Linked DNA regions of Drosophila melanogaster. The protein of the gene in region 3 interacts with the protein of the main gene of each other region in a pairwise test. Each region holds a gene or a part of one and is shown on either strand. Other genes may lie near its edges.

Evidence for each region.
Region 1: the proteins of Pp1-13C (region 3) and ZAP3 interact in a two-hybrid assay, tested with the Drosophila melanogaster proteins (one study listed by BioGRID).
Region 2: the proteins of Pp1-13C (region 3) and NiPp1 interact in a two-hybrid assay, tested with the Drosophila melanogaster proteins (2 studies listed by BioGRID).

The regions. Positions count from the first base shown.
Region 1 is NC_004354.4:10,079,493-10,084,937, reverse strand, and holds the start of ZAP3 (ZAP3), read left to right. Parts: upstream 1-2,445; 5' UTR 2,446-2,633; coding exon 2,634-3,005; intron 3,006-3,066; coding exon 3,067-5,445. Other genes in the region: CG2972 (uncharacterized protein), read right to left, coding at 213-1,556, 1,616-1,690.
Region 2 is NT_033778.4:17,003,063-17,007,536, reverse strand, and holds NiPp1 (nuclear inhibitor of protein phosphatase 1), read left to right. Parts: upstream 1-2,387; 5' UTR 2,388-2,478; coding exon 2,479-2,507; intron 2,508-2,569; coding exon 2,570-2,784; intron 2,785-2,839; coding exon 2,840-3,054; intron 3,055-3,115; coding exon 3,116-3,686; intron 3,687-3,746; coding exon 3,747-3,868; 3' UTR 3,869-3,974; downstream 3,975-4,474. Other genes in the region: CG6805 (uncharacterized protein), read right to left, coding at 422-748, 1,030-1,776; AsnRS-m (Asparaginyl-tRNA synthetase, mitochondrial), read right to left, coding at 3,999-4,474.
Region 3 is NC_004354.4:15,357,057-15,364,786, reverse strand, and holds Pp1-13C (protein phosphatase 1 at 13C), read left to right. Parts: upstream 1-3,725; 5' UTR 3,726-3,996; intron 3,997-4,065; 5' UTR 4,066-4,449; coding exon 4,450-5,358; 3' UTR 5,359-5,686; downstream 5,687-7,730.

The DNA of each region.
Region 1 (5,445 bases), 5.3 Mb from region 3:
GAATCCAAGAAAAACTCCATACCTTACATACAAAAAAAAAAGATTTATTTCGTTTAAAAATAACGCTTGTAACTACTTGAAAAGCTTCTCTGTTTACATTTTACAAAGTTTCAGGTTCTCCCTTGTGTTTTATTTTATATATTATATAAATTTATATAAAGTCTACGATTGGAAAGCTAATGAACAACTAGCCCCTTACTGCCCAGAGTAATCTACTTGTACAAGCGATTGTAGTTCTTGCGCCGGCGATCCTCCTCGAAGTTGTTATTCCTGGCCCACTCCTTGAGGTTGCCCTTGGAGCGCAGCATGGCGGACTTGGAGTCCACGTCGCGCAGCACGAAGGGCGAGAATCCGGCCGTGTAGTCCTGATCCAGAGCGTTCGTCTTGGTCTTGGCAACGCGCGACGGCATCTGCCTGGGCATCGGCTGATCCTCGAACAGGATCGGATTTCTCGAATGCTTGCCGCCCTGGAAGCGAGGCAGGCTCTGATTCTTGTACTTATTGGTCAGCGGACGGCGCGTATTGATGTGAATCACCTGGCGACCGTTCTCGTCCAGACTGACGGCCACACGTTTCAGCGTCTTGTTGCCACAATTGGGGCAAAACACCTTGGTCATGATGCTGGTGGTCTTGTAGCACGCGTAGCAGCGGAGTATATATGTGCGCAACTGCTTGATGATCCGGCCATTGAGGGCGGCCAGGTGGAGATTTAGCTGCTTGAGCACGTTCTGCAGCGCATAATCGGTGGTCATGCAGGCGACGGGCGGCACTTCATCCGTTTCCACTTTGCCCTCGAGCGCTTTCTTGGCCTTCTTGATGTTTGAATGCGTGATCCAGCCATCGTCACCCACATCCTCGTCGAGATTTTGGCTCTGTTTGGCTTCTTGTGGCTCGGATACCTCCTCATCTACTTCGGCCGGCTGGGAAACGAGCAGTTCCGAGAGCTCTTTCTCTTCCTCGGCACTGGGTGCGCATTTGAGCTGCTCGAACAGCTTGTCCAGCTCCTCCTGACTGGGCTCCTGGTCTTGGTCCTCCTCCTTTTCGATGGTCTCGCTGGCAAATGGTTCCTTGCCGGCCAATTGGGCTTCGATGGCGGCTTTAACAGTGTCTGGGGATTCATTTGCCTCCTGCTCATCGCCTTCAGCATCGTCCTCTTCCTGGGAGTAATCATCTTCCTCCTCGGAATCCTCCTCCTCCTCCTCTTCGCCCTCGGGCATGTACCAACCGACCAGTCTCTTGTTATTAGCATCCTGCATCTCCTCGGGTTTATCCTTGGACGCAATGGTCTGCGCCATCACAGGCTCCTGGCGCAGGTGATCAGTGCCCACGTTGTCTGCTTCCAGTTCGTAGGTGAGCGAGATCACTTTCAGATCGATCCCCGAGAGACTCGCGTAGTCACCCGTTTTCTTGGCGAACTCCACGCAGTGTTTAATGCTCTCCGGACGAGGCTCGCGCACCTGGAGGTCGAAGGGCAGAACGCAGAGGCGGCGAATCTGGCGCTTGTTGCGCACTTCGGCCACCACATCCGGCACGGTGAGCACCTGCTCCGCGTATTCCTGTAGGGGATTAGTGGCGGCTTTAGATGGCTCGAATGGGCAAATTGTGCGTGACTTACATTCAGGGGCACGGCGTTTATAAAGGCTGTGGTGTCCGCCACAAGGAACTTGATCTTTTCGCTCGTTTCGGCCATTTTCAGTGCTAATTTTCACATGAAAAACAAAGGACGGCAAAAAATAACAATTTCTGCACGTGTCGCGATTAGTGTGGCTGTAGTGAGCTGTGACCGTTACGTTAGGGTATGCTAAAAATACCAAAAAGTGTTTATGAATTTGTGATTTTAATATTAGTTAATTAAATTTTACATTTTTAAGAGTTAGGCAAAGCTAAATGAATGCGTTCCCTAAAATTTTATTGCTAGCTCTCAATAAAATTGTTAAAATTAATTCATGTTAAAATATATTTCTATGAGATATTATATTATTATCACAGGGAGATATCGGTCCTGACTACTTAGACTTTCGGCCGGACTGTTGGAAAATTACCAAATTTACTTAACAAACTACAAAAAACATCAGTTAAACAAAATATCACTTGACTTAACTTATATTAACATATTTACAGATATGAAAAAATGTAGTAAAATGCCTGGTCTGAGAAATCTATTAATTTGCTGCAGATTTTCAAAAAGCTCATTAGAAGGTCTGCCAGTTTGATCTTCTTGTTTATTTTTTTTTTAACATATTTTCGTATTATCAATACAACTTCTACGAATCAATCACTTAAGCAAGCTATCTTTGCTAATTTTTCAATTTGTAGGCTTGTAAGTGCATTGGATTACATTCAAATTATTTTATTAATTGGCAATGGAATATTCTAGGGTGCTTGCGATATATGGATGCACACTCGCAGCACGGTCACACTGCCCGGCCCATTTAGCTGACAGTTCCATCTCTAGTTTTCAAGCCAAATATGGCGAAGTTTTCATTATCAATTCGTTCAGATAGCAAACTGAATTAGTGAAAGGTGGACGATTTTAAACGGAACGGAGCCAATCCGCCGGATTTTGTGAAAGCCCAACCGAGCGGTACAAGTGTGTTATTCGCTAATAGGCTAATCAATCCAGTGGACACGGTATGTGGGGCCAATGGCAAACCGCCGCCGCAGTGGCTCCCACTGCCGCTCTACCTCCGCAACCGTCGGTTCCGCCACCGTTGCCGGACGCCCCGCCCCCTCCGCCTCCATCGGACGCGACCGCCGGAGCCGGAGCATCAAGCGGTGCCTCTGCACCCATAGTCACGACTGCAGCCGCAGTCACAACGGCCCCTGGATTCAACCCCTATAGCAGCGGCCAGGCGACGGGGGCTGGCAACCCCTATCAACAGTATACGGCCGCCCAGTACGCGGCCATGACACCCGAACAGCAGTACGCACTGCAGCACCACTGGCAACAGTGGCAGACATACCAGGAGGAGTACGCCAAGTGGCATGCCCAGTACGGTGAGCAGGTGGGTCAAATCAATTAGTTATCGACGATCATATTGCTATAGTAGTCTTCCAAATCTTTAGTATAAGCGTGAAATGGCCGCAGCCGCGGCCACAACTACCGCAGTTCAAGGCGTGCCCGCGCCTGTGGTAGCGACTCCTGCAGCAGCACCCGTCCCTGTGGTCGCTCCTCCCGGGCCACAGGCCTATCCTGTCGCACATAACTATTACCAAGGTGTCAGCGCCTCGCCGGCGCAGTCAACTACACCCGTAGCCGTCGCGGGAGCACCGCCACTGCCCGGTAAGATCATGGCCCAGCCGCAGATGTACAACCAGCCGCCGCCGCCACCACAAAAAGGCGGTTACAATCAGCATCCGAATGACATCCAAAGCATGTGGTCAGGACCACCGCCAATGCAACAGCCGCCGCCAAATAGATATGGTGGCGGTCAAATGAACCAGATGAACTACAACATTGCCGGGCAAGACAACCAGGGATTTCCGAATCTCCAGCAGCCGCCGCCAAGTTTGCAGAGACCAACACCGCAACAGCAGCAGCCGCATTTAAACCATATGGACCATGGCCAGTGGGGAAATAATCAACACGGTGTGGGCAATAATAATCGTCCTACCTGGGATACCAGTGGTCCGCCGCCTGATAATACCGGCCAACCCAATCGCTGGAATGGCCCGCCGCCGGCAAATGATGTCAACAATCGCTGGAATGGAACGTCATTTAACAATAACACCAATGATGGCAATCGCCGCTGGGATGGGACTTCAAATCAAGCGCCGTCTGGCGGGGATCAGCAACTAAATCGTTGGATGAGCGAACCACCGCCAAGCCTTCCGAATCCCAATCAGCAGTATCAAAACCAGAATTCCTGGATGAGCGGACCACCACCGAGTATAAGTGATCCGCCACAGGACCATCAGCAGCAAAACAATAGCAGCCAGAATGCCCGCTCGAGTCGCTGGCAAGGAATCAATTCCGACATCGATACACCGCCAATGAGGACTAACAACAAGCCAAATAGCATCCAGAATAGCCGCAATAGTTGGGGTGATGGAGGTGGAGATGGAAACCAAAGCAAGAACCCATTCATTAAGAATCCACAGTCCGATTTTGGCAATTATGGCAACAGTTACAATAGCCAAGATCAAGGTAGTGCAGGAGGAGGCAACTTTGGCGGCTTTGGAGATGATAGTGGAGGCAAGCAAAGCCAGGACAGTTTTGCTGGACGTGGTGGAGGACCCGGCAATAATATTAATAATAACTTTAGTAACAATCGCCGCCAGAACAATCGACGGGATAACAATCGTAACCAGGGATTTTCCGATGAGAGAGGCGGTGGGGATTCTGGTCCAGGCGGCTACAATCCAAATCGTGGCAATTACAATCAGCGCAACAGCTTCAATCAGTCGAATGCGCCCTACAAGCAGTCGCAGCAGAACCGCAATCAACAGCAACCACCCGATTTGGACGAGGCCAGTTTCGATCTGCTGTTCGATCAGTGGGAGCAACAGTTCGAAGAATGGAAGCTGGCCAATGCCAACCATCCGGATCGTGACGAGTATCGACGCTACGAGGAGGAGTTCGAGAAGCAGCGCCGTCGCATCGCCGAGAGAAGGGAGCAGATGCGCCGACGTCGCCAACTGCAGATGGGTGGTTCGGCAGGAGGCTCGACCACAGACATAAGGAAGGAAGCAGCCGCAGGTGCATCCACGACCGCGGAGCAGAAGCCAAATAAGGATCCCTTCGAAGGCCAGGGCCGTTTTGCCGATCAGGGTGACCAGGATCACGGATCGGGTCCCAACTTCGGAAACGGGAACAGACAGTCCGGAAATGCTGGTCATTTTGGAAAAGAGAATCGCCCCTTCGAAAGCGCCGGAGTACCTGCATTCAGAGGCAACCAAGGACCGCCACCGGGGATGCACAACCAGTACCAAACCGCCCAGGAAGCCATCCAGCAGATATTGGACGAACAGCCAGATGAATCCAACCAGGAAATTCCAACCAAGCCGGCGGCATCAAATGAAAATTCATCTGATGTAAAGAAAGCAAAAACGACAGCTTCCCCAGTGGCTCCACCGATTGCACCCGTGGTGCCGCCCGAAGTTAAAGCTCCAGCTGCACCAGTAGTGCCAGATCCGACAGTGGTTCCGCCCACGCAGCCTCCTCCGGTTTCCACAAATTATGGCAAGCGCCGTCAAAGAGCTGCTCCCTCACAAATACCCGCTAAGCAAGTCAAGGAGGAGGAGCCCATATTCACCATTTCCCTGGACGACGACGACGACGATGATGAGGAGAAAGAGGTGGTACAGGACGCACCTAACACGCCCATGGGCAGCATTTTCAAGAAGAACGATGGCATACCCGGTCTGGATTTGGTGGACGATGGCAGTAACAAGAATAATTCGTCCTCAGTCTTCAATGTGGTGCTCAAGGATTCCAGCGAAAAG
Region 2 (4,474 bases), on a different chromosome or scaffold from region 3:
TTAATTGACTCAGTAACAAAAAAGATTAGTCACGTCGAGAGGTAATAGTTTTTTTTATTCGATCAACAGTTTAGTGTACAAAAATACATTTGTTTAATGCAATCAATCGTTAAATTAATATCGTCTTAATTGAGTGATAACATATGTATGTATATATACTCGGAAGCTGCATTATTTCCATGGATCACTTGAGAATTGCTTAAATGATTGCTAAATTAGCAGAGATTTCATCACATTGTACTTGATATTATTTTCGTTTCTCTTGTTCCTTCTGAAAGGAAGTCTTTTAATTACTCTACAACTCGTCTACGCATATAATCTAAAAGCATGCAAAGAGATTTAAAAGTTCACAACTAAGTGACGTCATGACGGCGCTACCATTGCTCTAGTTCAGCGATAAATAACTACAAAAGAAGCGAAATCAAAGTTGAGTATAGGACACAGCTACAAAAACAACAAATGCGAAGGATAGACTAACATTTGGCGTCGCCGGAGATGAGGCAGATCCGTGCGTCATTTCGTGGAGCTCCTCGTCGGTGTAGGTCTGGTTGGCAGCCTCGACCTTGTAGTTGAATGTCGCCGATACGGGCTTGTGGTCGGAGAGAGTGTAGTCCATGTGGGACTGATAAGACAGCTGGTTGGCACTCAGGGTAATGCCCGGATAAATGTTGCTCTGCACGCGATGCAAAATCCGATCGCACCAGGCGGGTCGCCGCTTCAAGTTGTAGTCATTAGTGCCTTCCACGAACTGCAAGGAAAATCAAATGAACTTTATATGGGTGCTAGAGATAAGGCGAATTAATTACATTCGACATATTGCCTCATAAATTAGTTGGATTTTGCTTTTCTCATGAAATCTGTGGAGCCGAATGAAGTGATTGATTGATGAAGTGATTGGCGGAAATTAAAAATTCAAGTGCAGATAAAATTAATTACACCCACCCCTATATACATTATTTAGATTAAGATTAGAAAGTTCAAGGCAAACTTTGACTGTAGAGATAATAAGATTGTATATTAGATTGTTACCTTAAAAGTGGGCGCAAAGTTGGGCTGCTGCTCCTCCAGCAAGCTGAAGGCGTTTCCCTTCTCCCGGAGCAGATTCAACTGGTCGAGCTTGAGCAGATCAGCGTATCGCTGGTTCTCCACATCCGTGCGGACATCCCAAGCGGACATATCGCCGGAGAGACGGAAGTTAAGATCGCCAAACCAAAAGACAAAGTCGTGATCGAATATCCGGCGATATCCCTGCGCATTGTACTTGTGATTGTCCACGATTTGGTGATAGTCTTCGATGCGCTCCTTCAGCTTCTCATCGTGCGCCGCCAGATGGGAGCAGACGAATGCGACGCCAGTTCCGTAGAGCGAAAGTCGAATGCTTACGGCACCCTTGTTGCCCCACAGCCCTCCAAGTCCCGTGCGCGTGGCTTCTGTCTCGATTTCTTTCATGTGCGGGATGTGCTTGTGCTGTGCGAACATGGTTATAAGAATTCCCTGCAGCTGCTTCGAGTCCACCTTTACGAACTGGTGATCGCTCAGAGAGTCCGCGATCTTCAGCACCCACGGATCGTCATTGAAGATTTTTAGCACCTGCGGTGTGGTGCTCACCTCCTGGAATCCGATTACATAGATATCGGGCAGCTGGTTATCCGGACAAGTGGTGGTGCCATTAAGGGACAAAAGGGAGCTCAGATCCTGATTTCGCGGCGTATGGGTGCCCACGTTCCAGGTCAAAAGGAAGATGCACAGATCCGCAATCGCCGTGGCCGTAACCATTTTTCCGCCGTCTAATTATCTATGATTAATACTTGTTGTTTTGGACGTCACAAGGTGGCTGTTGATGAGTTCATGGGCATCCAAAACAGGTTTACGGATTTGGCAGCATCAGCAAATAAAGCGAAAGGCGTTTTGCACACGCAACTTTCATTTATGTAACCGTTAATTCTTCAGCACTAATTTTTTAAGCCGCTTTAATTGGACTAGGAAGCGCTAGTTGCCCGTATTATTTATAGAATACTCAGATGTCGTTATTTATGTTTATTTGTCCGTCCGTTGCGTGAGCTTAGTGTGACCGCAGCACAACTATTTAAATATACCTTAGGCGGCGGCAAAAATTTTATGGTATCTCGATAGTAACGGAGCTCTGAAGCTCATCGAAAACATCGGCTAACATGAGCTTCTCATCTAATTTAGATTTTTATTTGAAACACATTAGATATTATAAAAGCCAAAAATCAATTTAAGAAATATAAAGATATAAGATTAAAAGTTGTACTGTGCGTAAGTTCCTTTAAAATAATAATACTCTTATTTCATTGTTTTTTTTTTTACGCGAGAATGCCCCTTTGCATTTGCTTGTGCTAAACCGATATTATCGGCAACTAGTCAATTGTGTGTACACACTGGCTAAGGATTTTTCATAAAAATAAACACTTTGTATAAACTTACCTTCCGAACTATTTTACTTAAGTTAAAAGTATGGCTAACAGCTACGACATACCCAGTTGGTGCGTTGTCAAATTCAGCCGCTGCCTTGCCACAAAATCACGTAGCATTTTATTTATTTTAGGGCTGGAAAACCGCCCACTGGCTTACATCTGGATGTGCTAAAGGACGACAAACTAGTACAAAAACTGATGGTGGATGAAAAAAGATGCTATCTATTTGGTCGCAACAGTCAAATGAACGACTTCTGCATAGACCATGCCTCTTGTTCGCGGGTCCACTCGGCGTTTGTCTACCACAAGCACCTCAACATAGCCTACCTCGTGGATCTGGGGTCCAGTAGGTACTAAGATATCTGGGATTCGGAGTAAGCTTATCCATTTACTTTTGACAGCTCATGGCACCTTTATTGGAACACTCAGATTGGAAGCGCACAAGCCCACACAGCTGCAGATTAATAGCACCTTCCACTTTGGGGCTTCTACCCGGAACTACATACTCAGGGAACGACCCTCTGGCCACCACAGCAACATCATGGAAGACCTGCCGCTCAGTGAAACCAGCGATGGAGCTCTCCTGGGCCTACCCGAAAGCCAAACGGAGCTTGATGTGCGTTTGGTTGAAAAGAAAAGCTAAATACTATGTAAACTAACCTTCCATTATCCTGCAGAATCTCACAGAATACAACACAGCCCACAATCGGCGCATCTCAATGCTGGGCATCGATGATGATACCAATATGCGAAAGCAAAACGCCTTGAAACAGGGACGGCGCACTCGAAATGTCACATTTAACGATGAGGAGATTGTCATCAATCCTGAGGATGTGGATCCTAATGTGGGACGCTTCAGGAACTTGGTACAAACCACTGTGGTGCCCGCCAAGAGGGCTCGCTGCGACGTCAATCATATGGGCATCCATTCGGGCAACAGCAGTTTGTCCAGTGCCAATGCCGCACATGTACACCAAATGTTCCAGCAGAGCCTAGTTGACATGAAGCAGCAGCATAGGGAAATGCCTCCGCCCAATGCGGTGCTCCACTCGCCTACTAATTCCCTATATCAAGGTCTACCGGCCGAAATGCATGGCAAGGGTGACCTAGAGCCCATCTCCCCGCTGAGCATTGGTTCCAAGTTGGGCCTATTGCTCCCGAATCCTGCGCCTGAAGTGCTGCCAGTCTATGACGAAGCTGTGGAGACCTCGACATTGGCTCAAAAGTTGGCCGTCGCTAATGCAAACGGTAATAGTTCTCGCGACTATTTGTTTAAAAACTTACTGATTGTTTATAACACCATTTTAGTTCGTCGCTTTGGTGAGGATCCGCATGACTCGAGTGGCGAAGGCGATTCGCTGTGCCCACAGAAAAAGAAATACGCCAAGGAAGCATGGCCAGGTCGCAAGCCCATGTTGGGGCAGCTGTAATTGCGTATTAACAAAATAATTAAGATTCCACCTACGATTTTCTCAAGCATATGATTGACAACACACTCTGGAGTAATATTTGTTTATTAGACTTTTAACGTAAAACAAAACATTTAATATCTTTATCTGATCACATCTTGCAGCTGTGTGGATACCTGGGGAAGGGTATCACATCACGAATGTTTTTAACGCCCGTGACAAGCTGCAAGTAACGCTCAAAGCCCATTCCAAATCCTCCAGTTGGAACTCCTCCATACTTTCGCAAGTCAACGTACCATTCCAGATCCTTCGGCAGATGCGGATGGGATTTTAATATAGCAGGATCGCTTTCACGCAGGCTCCCGCCGCATAATTCTCCAACAGCTGGCATCAGTAGGTCTAGGGCATGAACTCGATTGGGATTTGAACGCGAGACTTTCATGTAAAAAGGTTTCTGCTGAGCTGGCCAATCCACAACGAATACGGGAGCACCACAATGGGCCACTAAAAAAAGTTCTTGGTCCTTGGAGAATCCTTCGTTCAGGCTAATAGGAGTCTTAAGACTGTCCTTGTTTTCCTGCAGTACTTGCAGGGCTTCATCGTAGCTCATTATCTTCCACGGTACTT
Region 3 (7,730 bases):
CTGTTTCGAAATCAATACATGCTTCAGTAACAACAAGTGCTGTTTTGTTATAAAAATTGAAAGTTTAAGAAATTTGTGGAATATTTTATAAGGATCAAGGAGATTTCATATTTCATATGCTCATATGGATATTCAAATGTGTAGTTACATTCGCTTACTAAAATATGGTTATAATATATATACAAAATATAGGGATATATCTAAAGTATGTCTTATACATAGACTTCTTCTTATAGCAGACAGAATATATCTGATATATATATCCCATCTTTATAACATATTTCCAACCACTGTACCATACCTTTGTAGCACCAGCAAGTTCTGGATGCTGGCTGCGTGCGCTACTCCGGATCTGGTTGCTGCTCGCTGCTTTCCGGAGGTTGTAACCCCGGATAATGTACTTAATGCATCTACATATTAATGTCGCACCGCCTAAAAAAAAAAGAAAGGGAAAGGGGCCTTGGTGAGGTGCGGTGAGAGGAAGTGCAGGCTGACGAAAAAAAAAGGGAAAAACAGGGGAGAATTACACGGGTGAATTGAGGAAACCTGTGCCACCTCCGCTCCACTTCCCGCACGCCTGCTACTTTGTATGTAATTTCTATTACCACCCCCCGCCACCCACACCCATGGGCGTACGTGGAATCCCTCGTGTCCTTGTGTGTTATGCCTGTGTGTTTGTGTGTGTGTGCAGCGTGTCGTTGTGCTTTTTGTTGTTGTTTTTATTGCACAGACTGGCGACGCAGCGTGTGATTGCCACTTTCCCTCTGCACTGCAAGAAAATGCCCACAACTGGCACTGAAATCAATTAATTTTGGTCTAGAGATGGTTTCTAAAAGCACACCGAGTGCACTTCATTTTGTTTAATATATATTATCTGATCTCCTAACTTCATAGTTCTAATAAACAAATTCAAATCAATTCAATCATTATAATCGATAACTTAATAAAACCCCAATTTAAAAAGACGCCTCATATAATCTTGTCCAATCCTTGGCTATACTAAAACTATGCCTTTTTGAGCGCTCATATATAATTTTAATAATATATATATATTACACAATATATTACAACGTAGTGCAGATTTTCTCCCGGTGTTTTCCCACCCCCCTTTTTCGCTTTTCCCTCCTCACCTGAGCCGCTGCACTTGTTCCATCGCCGTGTGCGTGATGTGAAAGAAGGCAACGCAATCGCCGTGAAGAAGGGTGGTTGCGTATGGCTGGGCGGAATTTTCACCGCCCACTTGGATGTGTCTCCCAGTTGGGCGGGCCGGAAAACAGACGGCAGAGGGCAGCCGTTAAGCTGGGACCGCAATGTGTAAAAAATTACGAGCAAAAATTAAAGCTGGGGTGGGCGGAAAACGTTGGCAGGTGGTCGCCGGAGGCGGGAAAACTCCGCGGTCTTGCTGGTTTTCCACGCTTTTCCATTGCTATTATTTCCGCTCACACGCATGATGAGCCAGCGACAATATGTTGCCATTAACCCTGCAAATTATTGCAGTGTATGCGTGAGTATTGCCACGTTTTTTGTTGCTCGACAAAGTTTATGAGTCGTCTGTGGAAAGTCGATACACTTGAAAGGAGGTGGAAAAACAGGCATGGGAAATTACAAGACAATCTGCGTTATCGAATGTAAAGGAAACACTGAATTGTTCTCGAAATAACAGCCATTATAATGAGTTTATAAAAATGTAAAGGTCATTTGTTTATATTTACAAATGCATCTCATTTTATTAATTTTGTTGTGGTTTTAGTTCCAGTTCTAGTTCCATTACAATAGTGAAAAACTTAAAAGTCATATTTTAATTGCATAAAAAATTATATTCTTGATAATTTCAATAAATTCATAAATATAAAAAAAGCCCCTGTGACTTGAACTGCTTGCTATAAATATGCTTAAGTTTATGGCAAATTTTCAATGTTAGTTAGAGACAATGAATGTGGGATGCTGTTCCTTCGAACAGCGCAGAATATCCTGGGAATTCCCGTGAAATCTAGCTGCCTTCAACCACCCGCTCCCCTCCCCCTCATCCAACCACTACACCTACTTGTGATCGAAAAGGCGGAGGCAAAAAAAAAAAAAAGAAGGTAAAAAGGTAAAAATGTGAAAAGTAAAAGTAAGTAAGGCCATGAATCGCAACCCCCTGCCAAAAAAAAAAAAAATAAATAAATAAAACAACGACAAGTAGGAAAAAAGTTGGCCGCTGGCTGCGCGTCTGGCGGATATAAAAATAAAATAAAATCTATTAGGTGGCGAACCACCCCACATTTATGCGGCAATTTGTTGCTCCTTGATTGTGTCTGTGTGCGACGGGGTGTCCTTTCCGTATGTGCGTGTGTGTGTATGTGTAAAAATAAGTAAAGTAAAGTGTATCATTTTCCCATTTGGCGACCCCTTTTCGCATTTCGCCCCTGTACACAGGCACTTCTCGCACTTTGTCTCAATTCCCAAAACTGTCGCCCCGGCCGTTGCAATTTATGAAGATTTGTGTGTGGCCAGGATGCCAGCGCAGGGTGGGATGCCCAGGATGCAGGACTCTGAATATCACTGGCTCAGAAGCTCAGGGCTCAGCACTCAAGAGTCTTGGCCCACTCCCACTCCCACACGGTTTCGTTTCGACTGCACTTGTTTTGATTTGTTTGGAATAATAACAGATGCTTGCCGTTCATATTATTCATTGTGGAAATTATTAGCGCTTGACAATAAAAATGGCTATTTGAACAGCACTCGAAAGTGAGTGCGCCCCCTTACTCCCCCTCTCACCGACAATCCCCCGCCGCACAACACAAATTGCAATTTGTGCAAATATTTATGTACATTGAAAATTACTCATTTGTGTAACACCAATTAATTTCAACAAACAGCGGCGGGCGCACAACAATGGCCAAGCCATTTATAAAACTTGGCCGCTTGTTGTTGGTCCCTGTTGTCCTTGTTGTCCTTGCTGCCTTGCTGGTCAAACAAATGGGGGAAAATGAGGTCCTTTGTTTCCCCAAAATAAACGATGCCGCTGCTGTTTGAATGTTTGAATGTTTGCTTTGCGGTGCGCCAGCACACGATACACACTGTACAGTGGAGCCCTTCGCCAACAGCCGACAAAGCAGTTCAATCAGCTCGAACAGCTCGCTATTTATGTAATATACTTATGTGTACATATATATATGGTATATATATGGTATGTATGTGAAAAATGCGGGGTTATTGCCTCATTATTGGGACACTGGAAAATACCCTGTTTACACTGCCATTTTTCAAGTTGCGCCAACAAATTGCAGCTAATTAGTGGCCACACTAGCCGGGAAATCCGACGAAATAAGCTCATATACAATATACCAAAACCGGGGTGCACAGCAAATGGCACTCGGCAACTTCAAGTTTTCCACTCAATCAGAGATAATATGAACAAATGGGCGAGGGTCAGACGAGGGTCGGCACACTTTTCCAGGGGTGACCAACTTAAATAATACCTTTCTAGTACTGCAAACGCGGGATGTAAGACAGCTTATAAGGATGGTTAAGGTATCGTTTATTTTAGTTTAAAACCTAGAACATGCGAAGAAAATACAAATAAATGCGTTTATATAATATATATATTTTCTATTGTAAAAGTTTCTGAGAAATCACTATACCATCACATTTCCATGAAACACGAACTGGAACAATGCGATGTAGTCACTGACTTGTCTGTCGTCGATTTGTCATTCGTTTAGTCTTTGAAAAGTATAAAGGTCACCGTTCCGGAATCAAAATTTTTTTTAAAATTTTTAAGATACCGCAAAAGCGCGAATGTAGAGTATTAAAGTGCGTTTTAGTGAACAGCACATGTGTATCCGATCAGATCCTCAATTTTCATTAACTTCCGGAGAAGCGAAATCGAAAAAAAAAAAACACGATCTAAAGACGACTGCTAGTACAGCACGCAGAGGTCAAATGTCTAGATTCTAGAATTTAGATTACAACAGCTGGACTTTGCACACCACTAGAAGGAACTTAGAGAAGGTAGGGTAATCGATTTCAATCGATATAGCTAATCAAGCTGTCAAACCTTTTTCTTTTCACTTTTTCTAGAAGCGAGAATTTGTCCTACATTTTTATTAGGCATTTTGTGAAAGAATCAAAAGAAAAAAAAAGCTGAACGCTAAACAATTCACCGCCACATATCGAGAAGAAGCAATTCCATTCGGTTATGTTCTGGTATTGAGCACCTGGTATTGAGTAAATCGAAAAATTCACAAATCATCACAAAAAGTGCACGTCATCAGGACATACATTTTGCTGCACCCAAGAAGCTAAGTTTGTGACCCAAATAGACCAGCTCCGCCGAGGATCCAGTCCCATTCTCCAGACAGCCGCGATCTCAGGGTGAGTCCCTGACAAGCAGCCCCAACGGCGTCCCAGACGATTGTCCTATCCAGCCCGGACAACGCAGCCGCGGCCCCCAAGACCGAGGCCATGGCGGAGGTTCTCAATTTGGAGAGCATAATTTCCCGTCTGTTGGAGGTGCGTGGCGCACGGCCTGGCAAGAATGTCCAGCTGTCGGAGGGTGAGATACGGGGCCTGTGCCTCAAGTCGCGCGAAATACTGCTGGCACAGCCCATACTCTTAGAGCTGGAGGCGCCGCTCAAGATCTGCGGCGATATCCATGGCCAGTACTATGATCTGTTGCGTCTGTTCGAGTACGGCGGCTATCCGCCGGAGGCTAACTATCTTTTCTTGGGCGATTACGTGGACAGGGGCAAGCAGTCGCTGGAGACCATCTGCCTGCTGTTGGCGTACAAGATCAAGTATTCGGAGAACTTCTTTTTGTTGCGCGGCAATCACGAGTGCGCCAGCATTAATAGAATCTATGGATTCTACGACGAGTGCAAGCGCAGATATACCATCAAGTTGTGGAAGACATTCACGGACTGCTTCAACTGTCTGCCAGTTGTGGCCATTGTGGATGAGAAGATCTTTTGCTGCCACGGCGGACTGAGTCCGGATCTTACCTCGATGGAGCAGATCCGTCGTATTATGCGTCCCACCGATGTTCCCGATCAGGGACTACTCTGTGACCTGCTGTGGTCCGATCCGGACAAGGACACCATTGGGTGGGGCGAGAACGACCGTGGCGTTAGTTTCACCTTTGGCGCCGAAGTTGTGGTCAAGTTCCTCCAAAAGCACGATCTGGATCTGATCTGTCGTGCCCATCAAGTCGTCGAGGATGGTTACGAGTTCTTTGCCAAGCGCCAATTGGTCACTTTGTTTTCCGCCCCCAACTATTGCGGTGAATTCGACAATGCTGGTGCCATGATGTCCGTGGACAATACACTCATGTGCTCCTTCCAAATCCTGAAGCCTGTCGAGAAGCGCAAGAAGTAGAGGACAGCGAGATCTGTAGACGCTTCTAGATTTATTCTTATATATTGTAACACGCGGCACGCGACTCATTCACAATATCCTACACGAAATCGGTTCGAAATCATAATATCCACATACATCTCTAGTCAACCGGATCGAGGGAAATGGCTCAACTACAACGTATACCTCCATGGATCCTAACTGTCTTCAGAGGTATCCACTAGCCAATTCTTGCATATTGTATGATATGTGTAAGTTCACTGAGATTTGAACGCAGAGCTTATGCTTAGCTAATGCAAAATAACGCCATATGCGACTTTTACAAAAATAAACTTACATTTAAAATTTCAAGTGTTTTCATCTAATTGTTGTTTTTTTTCGATTTCCTAATTAATCTTGTCAGCTAGTTTATCCAACTCTTAATTTAAGCACCTTTCCCAAATGTGGAAGCCCTGAAAAGTGTGCTACGAATTCCGGCGGAGTGAAAAGTGGGTGATCCCCCTGAAAAAGAGATTCACCTCCATCTGTTCGTGTTCGGTGACAGAAGTCACCGCCATATTATATTAACAATGCTTAAAAATTAACAAAGCACACGCACACACATGCACACATGCACACGTAAAATGAGTGGGCGATATGGGGGCGTAAGAGAGAGGGAGCGAGCTGGCAGACAGACGACAAACAAAAAAACAGAGACAAAGATACAACAAATTGCGCCAAAAACGCTTTATTATGTCAAAACAAGATGAAAAAAAAAACAATAGAGAAAAGGAACCCAGTGTGGCAACAACAAATTACATTATATATATAATGAGGTCATTAGCGCGTAAACAATCAGAAAAGAAAGTGGGCAATGAAATACAAAGGGTGGGAGCGAGATGGCGGTAGAGCGTAAGGGAGACCAAAAAGAAAACAAAGTCACATGTTTATCAACAAACGGCAAATAAATAAATGTTCTTCGCAAATTTGTTAATAAATCATGAAGTTGACGACCCAAGTCGAAGAGAAAAATTTGAGCAAGTGAGAAGAACAGATTGTCAGGAGAGAAAAGTTCAGCGGCAATTCAGTACTCTTATTTATTTTTATTTCATAAATAGATAGCCCTATTTGTTTATTTAAATTATTATTTAATATGTTTATAAGAAGTATTGTTTAATATATTTAAATTACATTTTAACAATGGAAGATCTAACATTGACGTATGTATGTAGATTCTTATAGTTCATTAGGTAATCTGTTCTTTTGTTAAATATAATATTATTATCCTGACTACACCATATCTATTTAAGCTAATCTTTAATTTTAAATGCCAGTAAATGTGGTAACATTATTCCAACTAAGCTACCAAATTTAATATTCAACTTACTGGCCAAATCCGGACTCTCTTTGCATTTCCAAGAGTATTTCTTGCTTAAAATGGCGTCCTTATGCACACACACACACTCGCACGAAAGGGATATGTGTGTGTGAGATGCTCGGTGTTTGTCGCTGCTGCAGAGCAGATACCTATATATGTGTATATTTCTATATGGATACACGGATATATATGTACATGTTGCAGTAGAAAGGAAATCAATGCAGACAACATTTGGCAATTTGGTAGCAGTGCAATTGTTTTCTCTTTTTCCGGTTAGCTACTCGCATTTATTTGTATCCTTTTTGCTGCAAATTGCCTTCTATTGTTGCATTTGATTTGTCCTCTGGACGAAAAAGAGGTGGAGATATATGGCATGCCACACCCACACACCCATGCACACACACACACACACATACATACTCACTCCGCCATCTCGCTCTGGCTCTAAAGTTTTGTATCTGGGATTCATTGTTTCGTATGCACTGGAAGAAATTTAAGTATCTCTTCATCTACAAAACATTGGTTTTTTATATAAGCGATTTATAAAAAATGTTAAAAGTTATTAATTAGAAATTAGGCACATTTTTTCTATTATATTGTAATAATCTTCAAATATATTTATTTTTTTCTTTTTTTTTTTTTGATCACTCAAATATTGATCTACTATTTAGAAACCTTTGTTAAAATTTCAAACTTTAATATTATATATTTCAAATTATATATTTTTTGAGTTAGTTATAGTACAATATTTCAAAACCTTGTGCAGATTTATACATTAATATCAAATCATTTTGTTAGCTAGAACTCAAAGGCTAAATTTAAATAATTTGTTAATCATTTCGGTTTTAATATTATTAATATTAAAATAAAGTCTTTAAACTCAAGCTCATAATGATATAATTTTTGTGTTCATAATATAACTGAACTTGTGCATTTCTTTAATAGTAAGCATTTTTCCGTTTTTTTTTTCTGACGTCTTTCTTCAGCTTTAAGTTACAGATTAGCATCCTTTGGTCGCCTTTGAATAATTTTATTA